3 linked regions of the Astyanax mexicanus genome follow. The main gene of each other region encodes a partner of the protein of the gene in region 3 in a complex. Links are inferred from orthologs where the notes say so. Each region holds a gene or a part of one and is shown on either strand. Other genes may lie near its edges.

Evidence for each region. The genes of interacting proteins can lie anywhere in the genome.
Region 1: nhp2 (region 3) and gar1 share a complex: the UniProt entries of both Homo sapiens proteins name them as parts of the H/ACA small nucleolar ribonucleoprotein (H/ACA snoRNP) complex. The link is inferred for Astyanax mexicanus from reciprocal best matches to the Homo sapiens genes NHP2 and GAR1.
Region 2: nhp2 (region 3) and tert share a complex: the UniProt entries of both Homo sapiens proteins name them as parts of the telomerase holoenzyme complex. The link is inferred for Astyanax mexicanus from reciprocal best matches to the Homo sapiens genes NHP2 and TERT.

Annotation. Positions count from the first base shown.
Region 1 is NC_064417.1:31,157,968-31,165,250, forward strand, and holds the start of gar1 (H/ACA ribonucleoprotein complex subunit 1), read right to left. Parts: upstream 3,052-7,283; 5' UTR 2,885-3,051; intron 326-2,884; 5' UTR 310-325; coding exon 87-309; intron 1-86. UniProt on the Homo sapiens protein: Required for ribosome biogenesis and telomere maintenance. Part of the H/ACA small nucleolar ribonucleoprotein (H/ACA snoRNP) complex, which catalyzes pseudouridylation of rRNA.
Region 2 is NW_026040049.1:365,202-373,041, forward strand, and holds the start of tert (telomerase reverse transcriptase), read right to left. Parts: upstream 3,052-7,840; 5' UTR 2,644-3,051; coding exon 2,434-2,643; intron 1,362-2,433; coding exon 1-1,361. Other genes in the region: nucleoporin NUP42, read right to left, coding at 4,364-4,902, 6,150-6,264, 6,393-6,479, 7,408-7,484. UniProt on the Homo sapiens protein: Telomerase is a ribonucleoprotein enzyme essential for the replication of chromosome termini in most eukaryotes. Active in progenitor and cancer cells. Inactive, or very low activity, in normal somatic cells.
Region 3 is NC_064424.1:10,696,616-10,703,956, reverse strand, and holds nhp2 (H/ACA ribonucleoprotein complex subunit 2-like protein), read right to left. Parts: upstream 2,962-7,341; 5' UTR 2,781-2,961; coding exon 2,627-2,780; intron 2,499-2,626; coding exon 2,429-2,498; intron 1,243-2,428; coding exon 1,137-1,242; intron 991-1,136; coding exon 865-990; 3' UTR 506-864; downstream 1-505. Other genes in the region: grpel2 (grpE protein homolog 2, mitochondrial), read right to left, coding at 6,203-6,528, 7,045-7,126. UniProt on the Homo sapiens protein: Required for ribosome biogenesis and telomere maintenance. Part of the H/ACA small nucleolar ribonucleoprotein (H/ACA snoRNP) complex, which catalyzes pseudouridylation of rRNA.

The sequences.
Region 1 (7,283 bases), on a different chromosome or scaffold from region 3:
TACCATTATTTCACACTGTATGACCTGCTAGTTCAATGTTAATACTAAGTACAGAAAATAAACTAGGTCTTAATCATCGTCTTTACCGACTACGTGGTCTGGAGGACCAAAATCCTGGTATCTGTTGAAGCCGCCTCTTCCTCCTCCTCGTCCACCTCCTCTACCGCCACCGCCTCCTCCTCCTCTCCAGCCTCCTCCACCACCACCACCACCTCTCCCAAAGCCTCCTCCTCCACCTCCTCCTCCTCTTCCAAAGCCACCGCCACCACCACCACGACCACCTCGGCCACCGCCTCCACGGAAAGACATACTCAGGAATTCAAACCTAAAAACAGAGTATATTTAAAAAAAAAAAAAAAAAAAAGACAGTTTGACTGAATTTACTTTGTTTAGCAATTTCGCCTCCTAGTGCTTGAAATAATTTTCATACTGAGACTACCATCTTTTTGGATCTTCTTGGAACAAAAACGGGAAAAAAAGTGTGTTTGCGGCATAGTGTTGGGCGGTATATCGGTTTATCCGGTATACCTTCCCCTCTGATGCAGAATTTTTACATAACAGCACTTTATCTGAGGAGCTCCTGCTACTGTTCCTCACTGTTTGAGTATTTTTATCCGAGTAAAATAGAAAAGCAGCAGCAAACAGATATAAACAAATATTTACTCAGAAAAGTGAGGAATGGAATTACACGATTGAGCCACAGCTTGGGGGGAAAGTTGCTCCCCCAGACAAGCCCAGAATTGGTCCTAGGTACAGAATCATTTATTTAGCACAAGCCCAGTAATGCAAAAAACGCTTAATAAATAATAATAACACCGTGACATACCGTAAAAACCATTAAAATCTTAAAAAAAAATAAAAAATACCATGATGTACTTTGTCCTACCACCCAGCATTAAACATATACATATTTTTATTTATGACTCACTGCTTTGCCTCACTGTATTGGACAATGATATGCCAAGTAGCATTATATTAAAGATAAATAGTAAGTAAGTAATAGGTAAGTAAATCAATATGTAAAGTATGGTATGGAAAGGTATAATAACCAAAAAACAGAAAGTTGGTTTGTTGCATGCAGGCAACACTAAGCCATAGAGGGTTAAATAGACATCTCTGGAAAAAATAAGAGACCACTTTTAAATGACAAGTTTCCTCTGGAATATAATCAAGAGGTAGATGGGTGATCACAAGCCAACAAACCAAACTGAACTGCTAGAATTTTTGCACTAGGAGTGGCATAAAGTTTTCCAAAAGCAGTGTGTAAGACTGGTGGAGGAGAACATGCCAAGATGCATGAAAACTGTGATTAAAAACCACGGTTATTCCTCCAAACATTGATTTCTGAACTCTTAAAATGAATCTTATGAATATTAACTTGTTTTCTTTGCATTATTTGAGGTCTGAACGCTCTGCATCTTTTTTCTGATTTTAGTTATTTCTTATTTTCTGCAAATAAATGCTGTAAATGGCATATTGTTTGGAATTTGGGAGAAATTGTAGTTTATAGAATAAAACAACAACATTCATTTTACTCAAACATATACCTATAAATAGCAAAATCAGATAAACTGATACAGAAACTGAAGCGGTCTCAATTTTTCCAGAGCAGTATTTTGAAAGTGTATTTGTCTCATACACAGCGACATAGTCTACTCACTCACATGAAATAATAAGAAATACTATTTTATTAGATTATAAAGGTAAATCAGAGAAGTCAAACATAAAATGATACCAAACAGGTAAAAAAGAGCTAAAAATCTAGGATATATACACTCATTTGCACAGTACAATACAGAAATGACTAACTCTAAAAGCGCAAACCTGTAAAAGTAGTTGTGCAACATAATACTGTGCAACCAAGCAGAAGAAAACACAGTAATTACACGTCATTCTAAGGATTTACCTCAATTTTAACATTAAGCAGGTTATCAATATTCATATAAAAGACAGAGACAAGTGTAAGACCACGGGCGGGTTTACGTAGTAAATAAAATGGCATGTTAGCGGCAACACATGGCGACGTCTGTCGCCCTTTCTTCTTCCCTTTCACCCCACACTAAAGAAAACTAATCCCTGATCCGAGTTAAATACTTCGCTTTATATTTCTCCGATTGAACAAGGGCAGACGAGACCCACGCGCTTTAAGAGTTTGAATTGTTACAGGAGTTTGAATGGTTAAGAGAGTTATCGCGATGGTGTTGCATCGAATTGTGAACCATACCAGATACTGCGTCTCAAGGACCCTTTCGGCAGCCATGGACAACGCCTGCTTTAAAAGACCCACGTTTTTCCACGTTAGTTAACCTAATTTAGCAAAACTCAAGCATTATATAACGATCTACTTAATAACACACATTAAAACGTTTTCTATTCAATATCAGTAGGGAGGAAATGTATTGTTTCGAATATTAGTTACATTATATATCTTCAAAACGACACATCAGTCAACCATGTTTAAAAAAAAGGATATTTAATAAATTAATGATTAAAGGATTCAATAGCTTCACATAATCAAACGTACTACTTAAAGATATTAACTAATAAAACCAGTACAAGTTCTATTGCATGCTAAAAGAATAATACTTAAAAACTTATGAACAGTCTACAGAGAGCGTGGCAGGAAAATAGCTAACCAGCTAAATGGTGCACGATTTGCCGGGTTTCGGATCAAAGTGCTACACCAAGCTAACGTTAACCTACAGCTCTAATCACTCTAAACACGCATTTTAAATAAGAACCGCTGCCACTAAAATGCGTGAATCCGGATTAAAACTTCAGTATTAAACTGTTGAATGTAGTAAATCTCAGCTAAACACGGAGTTTAATCCGGATTTTCGGACACGCTCTCTCAGCTTCTGATTTTCCCCGCTGCTAGACTCACCTGAACCCGGGCAGAAGCAGCTGAAGCTCAAAGACTCGCGGGGAGGAAGAATCCGAGTAAAATTAAACCGAAAACTGTAAAAAACTGAACTGCACTCCTCGCGCTGCTCTTTCTCCCGGCACGCACGTGGGAACCGCCGCTACCGCTAAGCAACACAGAGTGTCGTAAACCTATAACTACAACTTCAGAGTATAGTGGTGTCCGGCAGGGGGCACTGTTACAGTTCTTAACTTAAATAAATAAGTACATATATTTTACTTAAAAAAAGTGAACTCAGCGGAGAGGGGTAGTGACAAAGGGGAAAAGAGGGGGAGAAAAAAGGAGGTAAAATATGGGGAAATTTGTGTTGGTATTTATGTATTTTGTTTTGTCATTTCTGTGGTCTAATATCAAGCACTGTTTACACTTTTTAATCATTGGATTTGTCCCGTATCTCTACCCTCCGGATATATTTCCCTCAGTAAAGAATAATAATAAAATGATAATATATAATTATGTATTATTTTATCCGTTTATTATTATCATTTATCATTCATCATATATTTAAATCATGTTTTGTTGATGTGTTGTTTCTCCATACTATAAATTTGCATTGTAAATAATTTATAAAAAATATTCAAGTTATACAGGAACACATGCAGAATTATAATTTATTTTATATTATATACAGAGCGATTTATTTTAGGCATTTATTTATTTTATTGTTGTAATTATGGCTTACAGCCAATGAAAACCACAGAAAATATTAGATTATTTTTCCGAAAATTAACTTTATTTCAGTAATTTGGTTCAAAATATTATAAATGAAGACCCAAAAGTCAGTATCTCAGAAATTTAGAACATTATATAAGACCTGTTGGCACCTTTGACATTGTGGGCAGTGTACCAAGTCCTGCTGGAAAATGAAATCCACATCTACATAAAAGTTGTCAACAGAGGGAAGCAAGAAGTGCTGTAAGATTTTCTGGGAAAACACTGCACTGACTTTGAACTTGATATAACACAGTGGACTAACACCAGCAGATGTGGCTCTACAGAACATCACTGAACTGTGTGCTTCTCCGCTCTTTCTCTAAACTCTGGTCCCTTGATTTCCAAATGAAATGCAAAACTTACTGATGTTCAATGGTTTTCCAGCATCACACTGCCCACATTGCCAAAAGTACCAATTGGTCTTATATAATATTATAATTTTCTGACGTACTAACTTTTGGGTCTTCATTTATAACATATGAGTATCACATTTTAAACCAAATTACTGAAATTAAGTAATTTTAATGATATTCTAATATTTTCTGTGTATGTGTATATATGTGTATGTGTTTCTCCAGCAGGGGGCAGCAGTGTTCCACTGACGTGAGGCTGTAGTTGCTGTACTCTCAGGGGGTGAAGCAGCTGCTTCTAAACTGCAGTCAGGAGAGATGGACTGACACACACACACACACACACAAGTAGACCACATCTGTAAATAGCAGTAGTTGTGTTCCTCTCCGTCTTCTTCTTTTTCTTCTTCTGTGTTTTTGAGCTGTCAGTTTTTCTGCTGGCGCCTCGGGCAGCTGTCAGCGTCCTGCGTGGGAACACGAACACACTCTGTACACAGGATGGAGTGATGGCAAGAGAGAGAGAGAGACAGAGAGAGAGAGAGAGAAAGGGAGACGAAGGGAGACAAAGCTGAGATTATGAGGAGAGAAAAGGCTGTGACGAGAAAGAGAATGAGAGACAGATGAAGCTGTGAAGAGAGAGTGAGAGAGAGACATAGATAGTTATGAAGAGAGAGAAAGAAATGAGAAGGGATGAAAAAAGAGGGAGAAAGATGTGAAAAGAAAGAATGAGAGAGATGTGAAAAGAGAGAGGGGGAGATGGAAAAAGAATTAAAGAGAGAGTAGGAGAGAGATTTGATGAGAGAAACCGAGAGAAAGAAAGAAAGCTGTGAAGACAGAGAGAATGAGAGAGATAGAGAGATAGAAAAAAAGGGGGAGAAAGAGAGGGAGAGAGAATGAGAGAGAGGGGGATGGGAAAAAAGGGAGAGAGAAATGTGAAGAAAGAGAATGAGAAAAAGAGAGGGGGATGGAAAGAGAGAGAGAGAAATGTGAAGAGAGAATAAGAGAGAGGGGGGGGTGGAAAAAAAGGGGGTAGAGAGAGGGAGGGAAAAAGAGAGAGGGAGAGGGAGAGAGAGAGAGATGGAAAAAGAGAGGGAGAGTGAGAGAGAGATAGGTCTGGTTGGTGGTATTGCTGGGTATTGAGTATTGGGCTGTAGTTCTTCCTCCGTTTAGAGGATAAATCCAGACTGCGTGACTAAGGCTAAATGGGTCCGTCTCAGACTGGGGCGTGCCGAATGTTGAGCGGGTCTCTGAAGAGCATCCCTAACGGCTAGGGGTGAATGTCATGATCTGTGGGCGAAAAGCTCTGAACGTCTACTCACAGCGGCTCAAAGCCAGCCATACATATACGCTGTATATACACCAAGGCTGTGAGTTATCATAGAGCATATTGAGGAAACCACATGATATAGTGGGACCATGTAACCTGTATATACATGCATTTACTGTGCTGTTCAGAAGTTTAGCTGATAAATGTTAGGTTCATGTTAATTTTTACACCATTCTCATATAACAAAATAAAGCGTTCAGCAGCAATTAACACACTCTGTGTCAGTTTACAACCGCTGGCTGTTTTCCCGCTAAAAGATACAAGCTGTACAGAGCTAGTATAGTAATGTTAGCTGAGCTAAAAAGACTTGCCATCAGCAGCCGGAGTCTGAGAGAGTACATTTGTCTATGCTGTCTCTGGGTGGGTACAGTAGGTGGCGCTCTCTCCTCCATCATCCTCAATGTGATGCTAGCCAGCACAGGTGTCTGTTGGCAGATGTATCAGAAGAGAGGATCCAACGCTTTCCTCCGAACATGTTGGCTGGATGAAGTCTGAATTCATATCATATCAGAGGAGGCATGTATTGTCCTCACCCTCCAAGACTCCATTTACACACGCCATGGGTGATCCTGTCACAAATTTCTCACATAATTTATGCTAGAAGAGAGATTAGTTATAGTAAGAGAATTCAAATTTTATTCAGAGGGAGTCCTCAGTTTAAATTCAGATTAGGCTGCTAGTTAAGCTTGTGTTGCTGCCATGAGTATCAACTTTATCCATTAGCTTGTTACTGTAGTGTTACCTGCTAACCTGTGTGGACAGTGTCCAGTGGGATATCGGAACTTGGCTAATGTGGTCATAAATGTCTCTACGTGATGGCATTATGATGCACCTCGAGACATAGGCCTACTGAATACACCTGTTCACACCTGTACTTTGTGTTGACACTTATAATAAACCAAGGACTCAATTTCAGGTGTGACTTCAACTCAGTATTTACTGTTTAAAACCTTCCTCTGCTTCAAATATCCCATGTAGATCACCAGCTGCCCTCATTATATTGCATCTAAACACAATGGGTTAGTTTTCTAGTCAGGGATTAAGCCAATTTTGGACTGCACAATATTTTGAATGGAGATTTTCCATTATCAGTATAAATGCTTGTCTCAGAAACTTACCCTGTTTGTTTCATACAAAAATGGACATGCAGATGAGTGATTAACCTAAATAAACTCTTTTCTCCCAATTGCTTGTACTTGTACTCAAGTTGAGTTTGGATTTGTGGGAAGATCTGACTAATCTAACGAGGCAGAAGCTGTTCCCATGACTGGTAACAAACCAGTTCATTATTTAAATACGTCAATCTGGCTCGAACGCGTTTCCTTTATAGTCGTCATTACCTGAGCCAGGCTGTGATTCAGCTGTTTGTCTTCGTGACTCACTGAGTCGCTGTGTGTTTTATCAGTCTTAAACGTGATGAAGAGAAACAAACGAACGCTGATCACTGCCTGTCACCCACCTGCTCGCAGCACTGCCTCGTGAAGCCCACATCGCTGCGTTATGAGCGTGATTGTATGAAAAGCTGTGACAGATGAGGCAACCGTGTGTAAACCGCCACTTTCAGAAAAACTGGAGAAAGATAGCAAATACATATAAATAAATAAATAAATCAAGAGTCTGCTCTGTCGGATCCACTCGTACTAGCACAATCATTACAACCCATCTTAATTTCATACAGGTCCCATCTAGGCCCCATGTGCAGTGTTCAACCCAGGTGGACATGTTATCTATGACACTACCACTCCAGTGTCACTGCTGTGCTAAGAATGACCCACAACCCAAATAATAGCAGCTCAAACTGTTTATGACTCAGCACAGCCCCTCTTTGACCTTATTCCCCTCACTGAATTAAGTGTTTATTGTTGGTGTCAATATTATAGAAGGAAAGCAGGTTACCCTAAAATGTATTTGTGACTGCTGAGTTGAGTTGTTCAGTTGGGTAAACAATATTAGCTTAGCACAAACACTG
Region 2 (7,840 bases), on a different chromosome or scaffold from region 3:
ACCCTCATCCTCCACATGACCTGCCCCAGCGACAGCCTCTCAAACCTTCCCATCCGCAGGAAGTGCTTCACCTGGGACAGGAAGGTCAGGAGGTTGTGCTCAGAGCCCCAGAGCTGGTCTGGAATGACGTAGCGTAGGACCTCCCTGACGAACAGGTACACCCTGTAGGCGGAGCAGTGGGAGACCAGCAGCGACAACATGTCCTCCTTGCCCTTGCCACCTGAGCACTTCTTACGCAGAAAGTGAGCATAGGGGCATTTTCTGTGTTTCTTTATTAACTGGCTGAAGATGGGCACCATGCTGAAGAAGCGTCTTGGAAGCTTCTGGGGCTTTGGTTCTGCTCCAGACAAGTAGGTGTTTCCCTGGAGGAAAATAATCCTTACAAGCTCCGCCCCTTGCAGGTGTTTAGGCCCGCCCACTCCACCCCGGACCTTCCTGTTAAGCAGAAAACCCTTCATGCCACGGCCACAATAGAGCATGCTCAGTACCCGGATGAAGCAGTGGGAGGGGCACGAAGGCGGTTGGTCACTTGGCTTCCAGCTGGACACACCCTGCATGGAGGCGTGGCCTGTCGAGGCTGGCTCCACCTTTTCTGGTTTCTGAGATTCTGTCTTAGCTGTCTCTATGGGATCTAAAAGACAGACGTTACTCTGTTCTTCATTGTCTACACATTTCCTTTTGGCCTGACTACGTTCGTCCTTCGCTTGTTCTCCTTCTTCTACTTCATTATCATCATTTTCTTCTTCTTTCTTTCTCTTTTTGGTGTTTTCAGTGTTGGAGTTTTCTATGTCAGTGTTCACTCTTGTACTACATGCTTTAGGCTGGTTCTCTTCAGTGGGTAAGTCTGTTTTTCTAGCATGATGCCTAATTTTCCTTGTTTTGCGAGTCCTAACCTTGGTTCCACTGGTAGAACCATCTGTTTCAATCCGTTCTTTTTCATTCTTTCTCTTGCTTCTGCTCACAGTAGTTCTGTTCTTCAGATCTCTTCCCTGGTCACTCCTTTTCCAGGTGACAGGTGGACCAGATGTGAGAAAAAACCCACACCAGCTACGTACAGGTACCATGTCATACAGAGGCACGCCACAGAGCTGCACCAGGCAGGAAGGGGGTGCTGTAACGAAGACAGCACACTCCTGCAGCAGGAACTTGGTGACTTCGGTACCCAGTCGCTGGTTTATCTTGGCCCAAAGCTCACTGCCGCTGATAAAGGCCGCACTCTGGGAAAGGGAGCCGTGGAACTTGAAGGGGTCCCAGTTCCCCTGGCGGTCGCTGTAGTGATAACCGAAGTTCAGGACATTCCTCCTCTTCTTCCTCTTCATGTGGTTCAGCACAAATGCCAACACCTCGGGCAGCGTGGCCAACTGGGAGAACAGGAAGTGAGATGGAATTTAACAACTTTTTACAAACATTTTATATCGTCTTTATAGAGCATGTACAGTACCAGTCAAAAGTTTGGACACGTCTTCTCATTTAATATTTTTTATATTTTTTCCTACATAGTAAATGAATATTGAAGTGATCTACGAAGCATGATGAAGTATTTAGATACTCTTATCTGAGGAGCTGTTTGTTAACTTGTGGTTTCTGAGGCTGGAAACTCTGATTAACTTATCCTGTACAACAGAGGAAACTCTCACTCTTCCTTTACTGAAGTGGTCCTGATGAGTACCAGTTCCATCAATAAAATGTTTTTGATGGTCTTTCCTTTAACTACATTTGAGGATACTCTCAAAATTCTTCTTTTTAGATTGACTGACCTTCATTTTATCGTACAGTATTTTTTTTTCTTTATTTAGTTGAGTAGTTGTTGCTTCTCATAATCTGGATTCGAACATTACTCAAATATTCACTATTCACTGTATACCTGTAACTCTACCTCTTCACTACTTTACTTTAACTGATGCTCTCAAACTTTACATTAAGAGACAAGAAATTCAAGTAATTAACTCTTGATGAGTTCAGCACAGCTGTTAACTGAAAGCATGAATTCCAGGAGACTCTACCTCATAAAACTGACTGAGAAAATCCAGCAGAGATGTTCAAAACTGATCATCTAAACAAGAGGAGATACTTTAAAGAATCTAAAATATAAAACATATTCTGGGTTGTTTAACACTTTTCTTTATTAAACAATTCAGTATATTTTATGTAGTATTAGAGTTTACACACTAAGCGATGTCCGTAAGATGAGGTTAAATAATGGTTGTTTCTCCATCATCAGCATTAAAGAAGCACTAAAGCTAAAAACTTATTGCATGTTTTCTGTTACCAGGGAAACCAGCAGCAGGAGGAGCTTAACTTCAACCACATGGCCCACACGTTGCCAGGCAACATATAAACTTCCGCATACGTCACTGAAGACTCAGAGAGAGGGTAAACCCAGCCACGTGTGAGCCTGGGCGATTCAGGTATCAGTAAACACAGTGAATTTACCTGTGCGCGGCTGGCGGCGCGCGGGAGGCGCGAGTCCGTGCACACCACGAGTCCCCGCATGAGACCGGCGAGGCGCGCGGGGTCCGTGTCCCGCAGCAGCGCCGCCCCGCGGCCATCCGGGTACTGCACGCTGTCCGCGAACTGCTGCAGCGTCCTCACCGACCCGTACACTCCCTGCAGCAGCGTGCACGCGCCCTGCACCCCGCTCATCTCAGCCCGCGTGCAGATCACTCCCAGATCACTCCTCACTTCATATACCGCCGCGCGCTCACCTCACCAACCACAGCTCCGCATCAACCCAGCGCTCAGTACCCGGATCACAATCAACACACAACGTGATTGGACAAGAGCTCGAGATCCCTTAAAGGCACAGAGGCACTGTGGCCACTTTATCGGAAACAACTACCTACTTTGCGCCTCTGGCCACTTTATCGGAAACAACTACCTATACGGTCTTTCTAGCCAGTTTATCAGATATGCTTACCTTGTCCTTCTGGCCCCTTTATCAGAAACACATACTTATCCTGTATTTTGGCCAAATTATCGGAAACACCTGCCTACCGACCTTGTCTTTCTGGCCACTTTATTACATATAACATCCATATATAACACTAAACCTACTGTTTTGACTTACTGGACACTTTATAGGTTGGTTGGTAGGTTGGTTGGTTGGTTGGTTGAGTTTAACGCCACATCAGCTCATCAGCTATTTCGTGGCAGGATAGGTATTGTTTATTCACAAGGTTCTATGATCTCGTCCTTAGATGTGGACTCTCAGTTTGGTAATAGTTAAAAAGTTCAGTACTTTGTTTGCATTGTCTTTGTTGAAAATGTCCATTAGTGTATCTGACAGGCAGATTTTTTGTTTTGTAGGTAAGTATTTTGGGCATTCGGTTAATATATGTTTTACAGTAATAGTTCGTTGGCACACATCACAATGTGGGGGTCTTTCGCCCTTCAGTAAAAAGTAGTGCGTCAGTCTGGTGTGGCCAATGCGGCATCTTGAGTAAATAACTTGATCCCATCTATTGTCTATATACGCGTTGGTAAAATGATCTATTTTGGGGTTGAGCTCGTACAGTTTGCTGTTTGTTTGGGTGTTCCATTCGTCTTGCCACTTCTCTTTGATGTATTTGTGAATTAGGGGCATTATATCTGTTGGTGGGAGTTTGCAGTTCGCTGTTTCGGCCTTTGATGTTCTTCTTGCTACCTGGTCTGCTTTTTCATTTCCAGTGAAGCCACTATGTCCTGGTATCCAGCAGAATTTTATATTAATATTTTCATTTGAAAGGTTGTGTAATCTATTCAGAATGGACACTTTATAGGAAACACCTACCTACCTCATGATTCATTGGTCACTCATTATTAACACAAATCAAAAACTAAGGACTTGTTTATTAAAAAAAACAACTTTATTATGATACAGCTGTACATTAGCCCCGCCCACAAAATGCCAGATACAAATGATACAAATAAAATAAACTTTACATTACTATGAAATAACAATCTGTTAAATTACAGAAACCTAATACTCTCAGTGTGCTCCTCATTAATCAAAGAGTAATCGATCAGCCAAGTTCTGATCAAAGCTAACGTAGCTAACAAGTCCTGGAATCTTCTAAAGAGTAAGTTAGCACTGGAGCGGTGAGGCTAACATAGCCAAAAAGTAATGGAAGCTTATACCCCACTAATTAGCATGTTTAAATATTCGTACACTGCGTTATATTTTAGGCTGTAGGTTATCTAAAACATGGAATAAATTATGTTAGCAGTGTTTATTAATTCCACAGTCTAATGATTAAGTTGTTTGTTAGCCACATTAGCCTCGTTAGCTGTACTGTAAAGCTAAAGTCTGGGCTGATGAATATGTATGTAGTAAACAGGGTAATCAGTTTAAGTGTGTTTTATTGTAAAATTGTGAGTCTGGCGTTTAGACCGTTAGCAGCTCCGCGGGCGGCGGTCTGAGGGGAATCTGACCCAGTGTGAATCGCTTAGCGCTGAACTCCCTCAGCTCATCCGGGGTGAGTTCACTCTGAGGGGTGAACAGGTTTTCTCCAGAAGCTGCACCAGCCGCTGGACCCCCACCGAACCCGCCGGCACCGGCCGAGCTAAACAGACTGCCGCCCCCTGCTGGAGCGGCGGATCCGAAGCCGCCCCCTGCTGGAGCGGAGGAGCCGAAGCCGCCCCCTGCTGGAGCTGTAGAGGAGGTGAAGCTGAACCCGGAGGCGGATCCGAAACCTCCAGAAGAACTCTTGCTCGCCACCGGAGAAGCGAAGGAGAAGGAAGAAGCTGTAGGAGTGGAGGAAGGAGCAGGCGAACCAAACCCACCAAACCCGGTGGAACTGGGCTGGGAACCTGTCGATCCAAACCCGGTGGAACTGGACTCGGAATTGGGCATTGTAAACCCGGGGCTGGCTGGAGCAAAGCTAAATCCACTTGCACCGTTTTGAGGGGCGCTGGATCCAAAACCTGAAAAAAATATATATTAAAGCTTAGCACTAGTGAGGTACATTTATGATTAGAATAGCATTATTGAAGTAAATGTATTATGGTAGCATATGGTAGTATGGTATGGTAGTATGGTATTATGGTAGCATTTATGATTAGAATAGCATTATTGAAGTAAATGTATTATGGTAGCATTTGTAAATGTAAAATTACAGTACCATTAGGTACCTGTACGTTTGTAGTAAAATTACTGAAGTAATTGTATGATCATAGTAGCATTTCTGAGGTAAATGTATAATTATAGTGGCATTTCTGAGGTAAATGTAGGATTATAGTAGCATTACTGAGATAAATTTATGATTATAGTAGCATTAATGAGGTAAATGTCTGGTTATAGTAGCATTACTGAGATAAATTCATGATTATAGTAGCATTAATGAGGTAAATGTCTGGTTATAGTAGCATTACTGAGGTAAATATGTGGTTATAGTAGCATTACTGAGGTAAGCGTATAATTATAGTAGCATTTCTGAGGTAAATGTACAATTATAGTGGCATTTCTCAGGTAAATGTATGATTATTGTAGCATTACTGAGGTAAATGTATGATTGTAGTGGCATTACTGAGGTAAATATATAATTATAGTAGCATTACTGAGGTAAATATAGGGTTATAGTAGCTTTACAGAGGTAAATGTATGCGTTCAGTTGTATTACTGAGGTAAATATATGATTATAGTAGCATTACTGAGGTAAATGTATGATTGTAGTGGCATTACTGAGGTAAATATATAATTATAGTAGCATTACTGAGGTAAATATAGGGTTATAGTAGCTTTACAGAGGTAAATGTATGCGTTCAGTTGTATTACTGAGGTAAATATATGATTATAGTAGAATTACTGAGGTAAATGTATGATAATAATGGAATTGCTAAGGTAAATCTATGAATATAATAGTTCTACTGAGGTAAATGTATAATCAGAATAGAACGGCTGAGGTTAATGTATAATGACAGTAGCATTACTGAAGTAAACATATGATTATAATACCATTACTGAGGTAAATCTATAATTATAATAGCATTTCTGAGGTAAATGTATGATTATAATAGCATTTCTGGGGTAAATATATGATTATAGTAGCAATTCTGAGGTCAGTGTATAATATAGTTGCATTACTAAGGCAATTTAATGATTATAGTAGCAATACTGAAGTAAATGTAAGATTATAGTAGCATTACTAAGGGAAATTCATCTGTGGACTCACCACCTGATCCGAATCCAGGTGCTGATGATGACAATGATGATGAAGATGAACCGAACCCTGACGATGGAGAGGAGAAGCCTCCACCCGAAGATCCCGGATTGTTCAGCTCTGATATCTGCAGAACAAACACAGATCAGACACCACCACTAATAATGGGTGTAGAAACCAGGAGATGTTTGATGGGTGGATGTATAGAGTGTAACTTGTAGAAAAGATTGTATTTGGTTCTGCAGGGTTCCTCACCATGGTGGTGCGGGTGGAGGAGCTCATGGTCCTTAGCTCCTGCACTCTGGACCTCCACTGATTGGCCAGCTGCTGTACGGAGTTCGCCTGGAACACACAGCACACGTCAGATCATCACATCTACACTACTGAACTACAGCTCCACCCGAACCACAGCTCCACCCGAACCACAGCTCCACCCAAACCACAGCTCCACCCAAACGACAGCTTCACCCGAACCACAGCTCCACTCAAACTACAGCTCCACCCAAACCACAGCTCCACTCAAACTACAGCTCCACCCGAAATAGTGCTTTCTGAACTACAGCTCCACCCGAACCACAGCTCCACCCGAACCACAGCTCCACCCGAACCACAGCTCCACCCGAACCACAGCTCCACTCAAACTACAGCTTCACCCAAACCACAGCTCCACCCGAACCACAGCTCCACCCAAACCACAGCTCCACTCAAACTACAGCTCCACCCGAAATAGTGCTTTCTGAACTACTGCTCCACCCAAACCACAGCTCCACCCAAACCACAGCTCCACCCAAACCACAGCTCCACCCAAACCACAGCTCCACCCAAACGACAGCTTCACCCAAACCACAGCTCCACTCAAACTACAGCTCCACCCGAAATAGTGCTTTCTGAACTACTGCTCCACCCAAACCACAGCTCCACCCAAACCACAGCTCCATCCAAACTACAGTTCCACCTGAACTTTAGCTTCGCCTCAACTACAACTCCTTCTGAATTTACAGCTCCACCCGAACCACTGCTCCACACAAACTAGTGCTGTCTCTGAACTACAGCTCTTCTGAACCACTGCTCCACCCAAACTACAGCTTCACCCAAAACCACAGCTCCACTCGAACCACAGCTTCACCTGAACCTCAGCTCAGACCAAACTACAGCTCCACCCAAACTACAGCTTCACCCAAACTACAGCTCCACCCAAACTACAGCTTCACCCAAAACCACAGCTCCACCTGAACCCCAGCTCAGACCGAACTACCCAGTCTGTACTTACGTAAGACTGTAGATCTCCAGAAGCTCTGCTGGTGTAGTACTCCATCCTCAACTCCTCGGGAGAGAGCTCCACAAACCCTACACACACACACACACACACACACACACACAAACATATACACACAAATATATATATATATATATATTGTTATATCAAAGTATCAGGATATTTTGTATTTTTTTTATTAGCTGTATTTTGGTTTTAAATTAGTGTCACAATATACTGATATGCTGAAGATCAGCATGCAGCTGTAATGTATATACAGTACCAAGTTCACAGTTTTAAAATGTTCTGTACTATAGATTAAAACTAAAATCATCCAAACTATGACGAAAAACATATGAAATTATTTAATAAACAAAAATGTGATTAATAAACCAGTATATATTTTATATTTTACATTCTTCAAAGTATCTCCTCTTGTTTAGATGAT
Region 3 (7,341 bases):
TCTGTGATTAGTCTAACGAGTAGGACAGGTGCGGTGAACACCTGATTTGCTTTCTGCACAAAAAATGCATTCAAAGAATTTCATGATTGCACTATTTCAAATTATTCTAATTCGTTGACCAGCACCTGTACATTAAGTGAACAAAGTGTCCATAGTTTGAGAGTTGACTTGAGTTTTGTGTACTAAATTCTTTCAAATATTTTATCCTGGTTTTATTCATTTTTTTAGTGTAGACTTATCCCATTATTAAGAACAACAGCTGCTAAAGTGTTGCTCAATGTTTGCATATTTCTATACATGAATGACTGGAAAACACTGAAAAGACCAATGTCATACAATGACCAAGTCAAAAGCCCTGAACTTAATATGAGAATCAAGAATCTGTGAAAACTCACTATTTTTATTTTACTATTATTTTAAGAGCATATTCTGCAAATAAAATACTCAGTATGTGTGTTAGTGTGAATGACTTATTTCAGAACAAATAAAACTGACACTGTTGAAATCATTTCATAGATTTTACTTCAAAATAGTTCAGATATCTCAACACAAACATATCCTTTAGAGTCAAAATAAAGAATGAAAGCAAAATGCAACATTTCTGGAAAAACTACATAAAGTAGCTGTCTGTTTTTAACACCAGTACACAAAATACAGTCAACAGGTTTCAAAAGAAACATGAAAATCATATGGTCATTCTTTCAGCTGAATGGCAATTCCTGGGATTGCTGGTATTACAAAATGTCCATAAAGCTGTGAGGCCCATCAGGATGCCAGGCCACACAGCACATTTACAACTGTGCTGCCAAACATCAACATAAGGCAATAAATGTTCAAATGACACCAATGCAGACAAGCACACACTCAGAGGGGTTTGGGGAGGGCAGAGACTTCCTCCAGACACTCATCATAAGACTCCTTGTATTCATCGTGAGGTTTGATCATGATCACACAGGTGGGACGCTTTGAACCAGCCGAGGAACCCAAATCCTGCAGATGAAATGAAAGGCAGGTGTGTCACAAACTATTGCAAAGAGCATCACAGTCATATATCAATAGTTGTTTATCAAGTTGCTAAGTAATTTGTTAAGCTTAAAATACATCATAAACTGTACACCCAACATGGTCACACTCACCACTTTTGAGGGAATATAAGCATAAGGAAGGTTTCTGTCCTCACACATGACTGGCAAGTGGCAGTAAACATCAATCGGAAGTGTATCTCCAGCAAGCACCACAATCCTGAAAAGGACAGAAAACAAAAGTCGCAAATGTTATTTCTTTAACAGTCCTCAGAAAATTGTTTATTTAATAGCTTCCAAGGTGGTGGCTACCTTCACTATACTAATCTCCACGATTTCTTTAGCAGGGTAATGAAGGCTGTAGTCTATAAATATTCCATAATTGTTTAATGTTAGAATTTAATTAGTTTTTTTTTATTTGCATTTTAGTCACCAAAATTTTCCATAAAGATGGCTAGAAATGTGCTACAACTTGTGGCTAATTAATTTAAACTAACTTTTCTGTATTTTTCATTCATGTTTTCACATTTTCATTTAGAATTAAGGCTTTTGGTTGGTTTTACTGCTCAACTGTATAATAAATTATCACATTTTTTAATAAATGTCTATGGCAACTGTCATATGTTTTTGGAAAAAAGTAGCATCTACTCCTCCAGAGAGTAAACAGAGCGCACAGATCAACTGTTTTTGTAAAAAAAAATAGGTAGAGTCAGGTATTGTCAGTCTTGTTTAAGAGAAAAACCTAATCTATTTTTAAACACTTTGTGGTCGAACACTGACCCTTGGCACAATTACCCAGCCAATGCAAGGTTTTCTTGTTTTGGGAATTTTGCAGAACAGTGAGAACTCCAGGATCTAAAATGGAGTGAACCCACCTTCTACAGTCACACTTTAATTCCTTGCTATTGAGCCAAAAGAGCACATGGTTACGTATGAGTAAAGTTCCTTAAAGCACCCGGTCCATCATTTTAACTCAAGAAGTCCCTATGTGACACACATTGCAGAATAGTGGGTGAATGGATGTTACTTTTTCTGATCTTATTTACAAAATACAGGAGAAATGGGATAGGGCTGGAGACAAAAATAGCTCATTTATACAATGCATTTTCTGTTCCAAGCATTTCAACAGTTTAAAGGCTTAAATAAAATGTTTTGCTTTTCATAGAACTAGTTCTGACCTGACTTCAAGAAGAAAACAATAAGTGAGTAAATTGTTGTTGTGTCCTTTAAGTTACATGAAAGAGCTGCAAATTCAATTTATCAAATTCAATTTTAAAAATGATCAATATTCAGAAATTGGTCTGGGCTCTTATGGGTTTAAAATGTATGAATAGCTTGTCAGTTATGAGTTAGGAGTATCAGAAGTGACTGAGATTGACTTTAGATTAAAATAATCTGTATTTTACCCAGTCTCTCCTTTGTTTATGAACTTCTGCACTTCTTTAACTCCCCGGCGAATCTGTTTCAGCTTGGCCGCTGCAAAACAAAATAAAAAATTACACATTACAGGATCACTCAGGATCTGTCTCGTTCTTTTTATAAGTGTTATATACGTCTGTTAGCTTTTGGGGACTGAAAATAGAATGTTTGTTTGCTGTTCTCACCTTTTTTGACGCATTTATAAAGCTTTTTGCTGAGTTTTCTCGAGGCTAAAGGGTTCGCGATGGGGTTTATATTGGCTATTAAATCCTGGTAGGATCTCTCTGTGGCTCCAGCCTCTTCCTCAGTTGCGCTCTTCTCCTTCTTTATCTTCGTCATATTTAACACTGTGAAATAACGGCAGATAAACTGTTTATTGGGTTTTTAATGCAGTGTTTCGCCGCGCAGCAGCACAAACACACGTGTTGGAGCTGCGTTACTGCCACCAGAGACCCTTCCGCTCTGTCGCCAGCCTGCACTCAGTTTCTGTTCATGACCGCCCCTAGTGAACGGAGGACTGAACCTGGAGTTACCGAAGTACCATAGACATAATAAACATTTTTGTTTAATTAATGTTGTATACAATACAACTCAACAGCCTAAAACAGATACAATATTAGGTCAAATACACATTATATACAACCAACAACTCAAGCACATAAAAACAAAAACACAGATAAACAAACCTAAACAAACATAAAAAAGAAAAGTGGGATTCAAACAAAATCTAAAAGCTTCAAAACATCAATACACTTAGTTTTGTTAATATAAAATGTACCTAAAATTATAATTAAAATTACTGTAAAATTTGTATGGTTAAATAAAGGGACATCAAAAAAAAATAAAATATATATCCGTTTTTAAAGGGGATTTCCTCACCCAACCTCTTCACTTCTAAAAAAAGATCAATTCAAAAAGAGCAAGAAAATCCACAATAAAAAAAATAAATGTAGACATAATATACATAGACACCTCATCATGGGCTGAAGCATCGCCGCCATATTGGTTGGGTCTGTGTAGATAGATAGATAGATAGATAGATACTTTATGTGTATGTATGTGTGTATTTATGTTTTATTCCCATTTCAAATTAACAATAAAACTTTTTTCTTCATTAAAATATCAAATTAATTCATTAATACACTTATTTATACACATTAATATTCCATACCACGTATGTCTTTGTTAAAGAGCATAATACAACGTATTTCAGCTTAAAAGCAGGTATTTGTAATGTGTGTCTGAATCATAACTACATCTCTGCAGTATGTAACAAACCAACCGTGTGAAAATCGGGTAAAAATGGCTAGAGTTGTGATTATTATAGTTGTATTAAAAACCTTCCTCAATACAAAGGCACTTGGGGCGCATGGGAGACCCATCCAATATGGCGGCCCCGCTGATAATCAGCTCCAATATGCGGCATATATGTGTATTATGTCTATGCGTAGTACATGTAAATGCAGGCCAAAGAATCAAAGGGCGTGGCGAATAAGCGAGGATACTGTCAATCATTTCGTCCATCAGCCAATCGTACAACAGAGATCAACTGTCAAAATATTATATAATTAATATTTGAAACAAATAAAGAGACCACTTCAGTTTCAAAATCAATTTCTCTGGTTTTGCTTTTTATAGCAATGTATATGGGTAATGCTGCAGACATGTCAATCATCCAATCAATTAAACCAATTAAATTCTTGCTCTTAGCCATCAAGCACTAATTATTGATCCCTAAATATTTAAATCGGTCGTTGAGCACAATGTTTGTGGTATAGTTACCAGGATGACTGTTTCTCTGTGACTTTGAATTATCATCTGTTATCAGCACTGATAAATACAACCTGACTACAACAAGCTGAAATGCTGTTTCTGCTGCATCCAGCCTCTTAAAGTTAGATCTTATTTACAGCATACGTGTTTACACCTGTCAAAACTTTATTGTATCCTGTAACTCTATTCATAGTAACATGGTGTAATAACAATATTAAATCATAATAATTAAACATTTATAAACTATGACTGCTCTCACTTCATAAAAAATATTTAATATATTAAACTGAGACATAAGATTAGCAATATTAGCTAAATCTGGATTTACAGTTTATGTAAATATGTTTTTATTTTCGTTTATTTTCTTTAATATGTTGAACTTTTTACCCACAACACCAAATATTCCTGCAGTTATGGGGAAATTTAAGCCTTTTCAATACCACTAAAATTAAGAACACTTTAGCAATACAAAATGGCACATTACATTTAAGACTACAGACTTTAGAGTAAGAGTATTCCTGGATGATCTGATAAATATTTGAAACAAACATTAAACTTGTATATCAAATTTGAAAATAGTAAAAAAAAAAAAAAAAAAAAAAACCTTTGGGAGATTTTAAAGATAAAACAGCTAAAAATTACAAGGATAACGTTTCAGCTGTTTTAATGAAACAACAAAAAGCAAAAGTAATGCTGTACTGAACATGCCACATACTACACAACTAAACACATACATTTCCTATAGGCATCTGAGTTCTCAGTGTCCGCACACTACAAGAAAAAACTAGACACATGGCTGTGAGGAGATATATATATATATACACATAATATTACAATTCACTTTCTATAACTTAAATTATTTATATATATAAAAATATCTAACACTGTAGAAAGTGACAAGTTTCTCTTTTGTGATATGCACTTTATATGTACAATGTAAGGTGCACTAACGCTATATTTTTCTGACATATATTTTTTTATAATATTAGAATATGTTAAATAGAGTCTGCTCTTTGGGCACTGCTGATCTAACATTAAGGCACAAAACATGACACATCCCAAAATTGTCAGTATGTCAGTAATAGTGTGACCACTATTAAGTAAACCTTTACAAAGAGGCTTTTCAGGCCATCCTCTCACTCTATGTAATGCCTTCAGAATGCTAACCTCAGAAGTTACAGTACAAAGACATTTGGATTGCACATTGTACTGCTAGAGAATATGTTGTAAACGTAACAGGGTCCCAAACAAACACAATACCTCCCAATCACAAGGTTCAATGAGGTATTATAGTTCTGAAAATTAAGGTACCATGAAGTGTAATACAGTTGTATTACATTGTGGTTGAATCATCTTATACATATAAATACAGTTTTGTATCAGTGTTGACTTCCCAAAAACGCTCATTACAAAATCAAAGAAAAAAATAGTAAAAGGGGGAAAAAATAAACAAACAAACAAAATTACAGAATGTTTTAAATAAAGACAAAAACATAAATCTGTACATGGCAATAAACAAGAACACATAGGTATTTAACACTGCAAAAAACGAAACAAATAAACCATCATATCAGGGACTGAATTAGCTGAAACACCAATAAGCCATAATATTAAATCCACCTGCCTAATACTGTGTTTGTTGGGTATGGACTTCACAAGACATAACCAGCATTAACCTTCGAAGCAATCTGTGCTGTAGTAGCTCATCTGTGGTATTGAACCTAAACCTGGCCTGGCCTTCCTTCCCTATGCACAGCCCTTTTTCTCAGTTCCAACAGATTAACTTCAAAAACTGACTGTTCGCTTGTTGTCTAATGTGTAACTCTCACCCCATGATAGGTGTCACTGCAATAATATAATCAATGTTATTCACTTCATCTGTCTGTGGTGTCAATATTATGGCTGAACAGTGTGCGCATATATAGATCAGTCATGCACTGTTCCAAGAGCTTCAAGTCGGGGTAGTATAAAAAAAACCACACCGGTCATCAAGACTCCTGGGTTTTTACAGCGATGCCCACATGCGCATGACGAATAGTGCGCCCATGAAGTTTGTACCCGTCCTGCTTGACTACGGCTATAATACCGGGCTCCACTCCTTCTGCTGGAGTGTGGCACACTATCTCATGCTGATAAGGGTCATACGTGGACCCCACAGGTTCCATCTTCTCCAGTCCATGTTTGGTGAAAACTTCTTGTAGTCTTCCCTGGATTTGGGCCAGGTTTTCAGTCAGACTGGTTGTCTCTGTGCTCCCTGTAGTTTTCTCCAACATGTCAGCTACTTCAACTAGGTCCCGACAAAAACTTTGAATCCCTGAAGAAGAGACAGAAAATATTAATTATCAAAACAAACTACTGCTGATTAGTGGTTATAAATAGCTGTAATAAAAGCTTTACAGTCATTTTATAATTCAATTGGTATGAATTAGAACTGATCTAACACTGACTGGCAGTTGAGGAAATACATTTTTTAAATGTATTCATTTTAGAAAATAACTGATTTACTACTACAAAATAATTCTGATTATGTTAAAATCTATCATGTATAATTCTAACCTAAATATGTATACACTGTACACTTGATCTACATGGTTACCAGTAATGTTGCTAATAAACTTTCACCAGTCAATAGCAAGGCGCAACTATATTTTCGTTCTGCAATAAATATATATTAAAAAAAAGATTTGTGAGTTTTAAGTGCTAATTTTAATTTGGACAACAAATATGTTTAGGCTGATCGACTGTATCTAAACCAAGTGAGAAAACCTGTAATTTGTAATTATGAAAAAACATGTAGTCTATAATGCCTATAAAACACATTTAACTTTACCAAAGAGCTTGGCGTCCTCGACAAACTTCTGTGTTCTTCTACGGACATTGTCAGAGTCAGCAACAGCTCTTTTGTACCTCTCCTGTGAAACACATGGACATTATACCATATATTTTAACCATGTTTTTTTTTTTTACACCATCCTTACAAAATACATGTAGAACTGCATTAAACCATTGGCAATGAACATTAGCAAAGTGAGTACATGGAGTAAAGCATTGAGTAATCAACAAGACAAATAAACAGAACTATAATTCTGAGAATAAACTTTTTATCTGAGTGATTAATTTAGTCCCA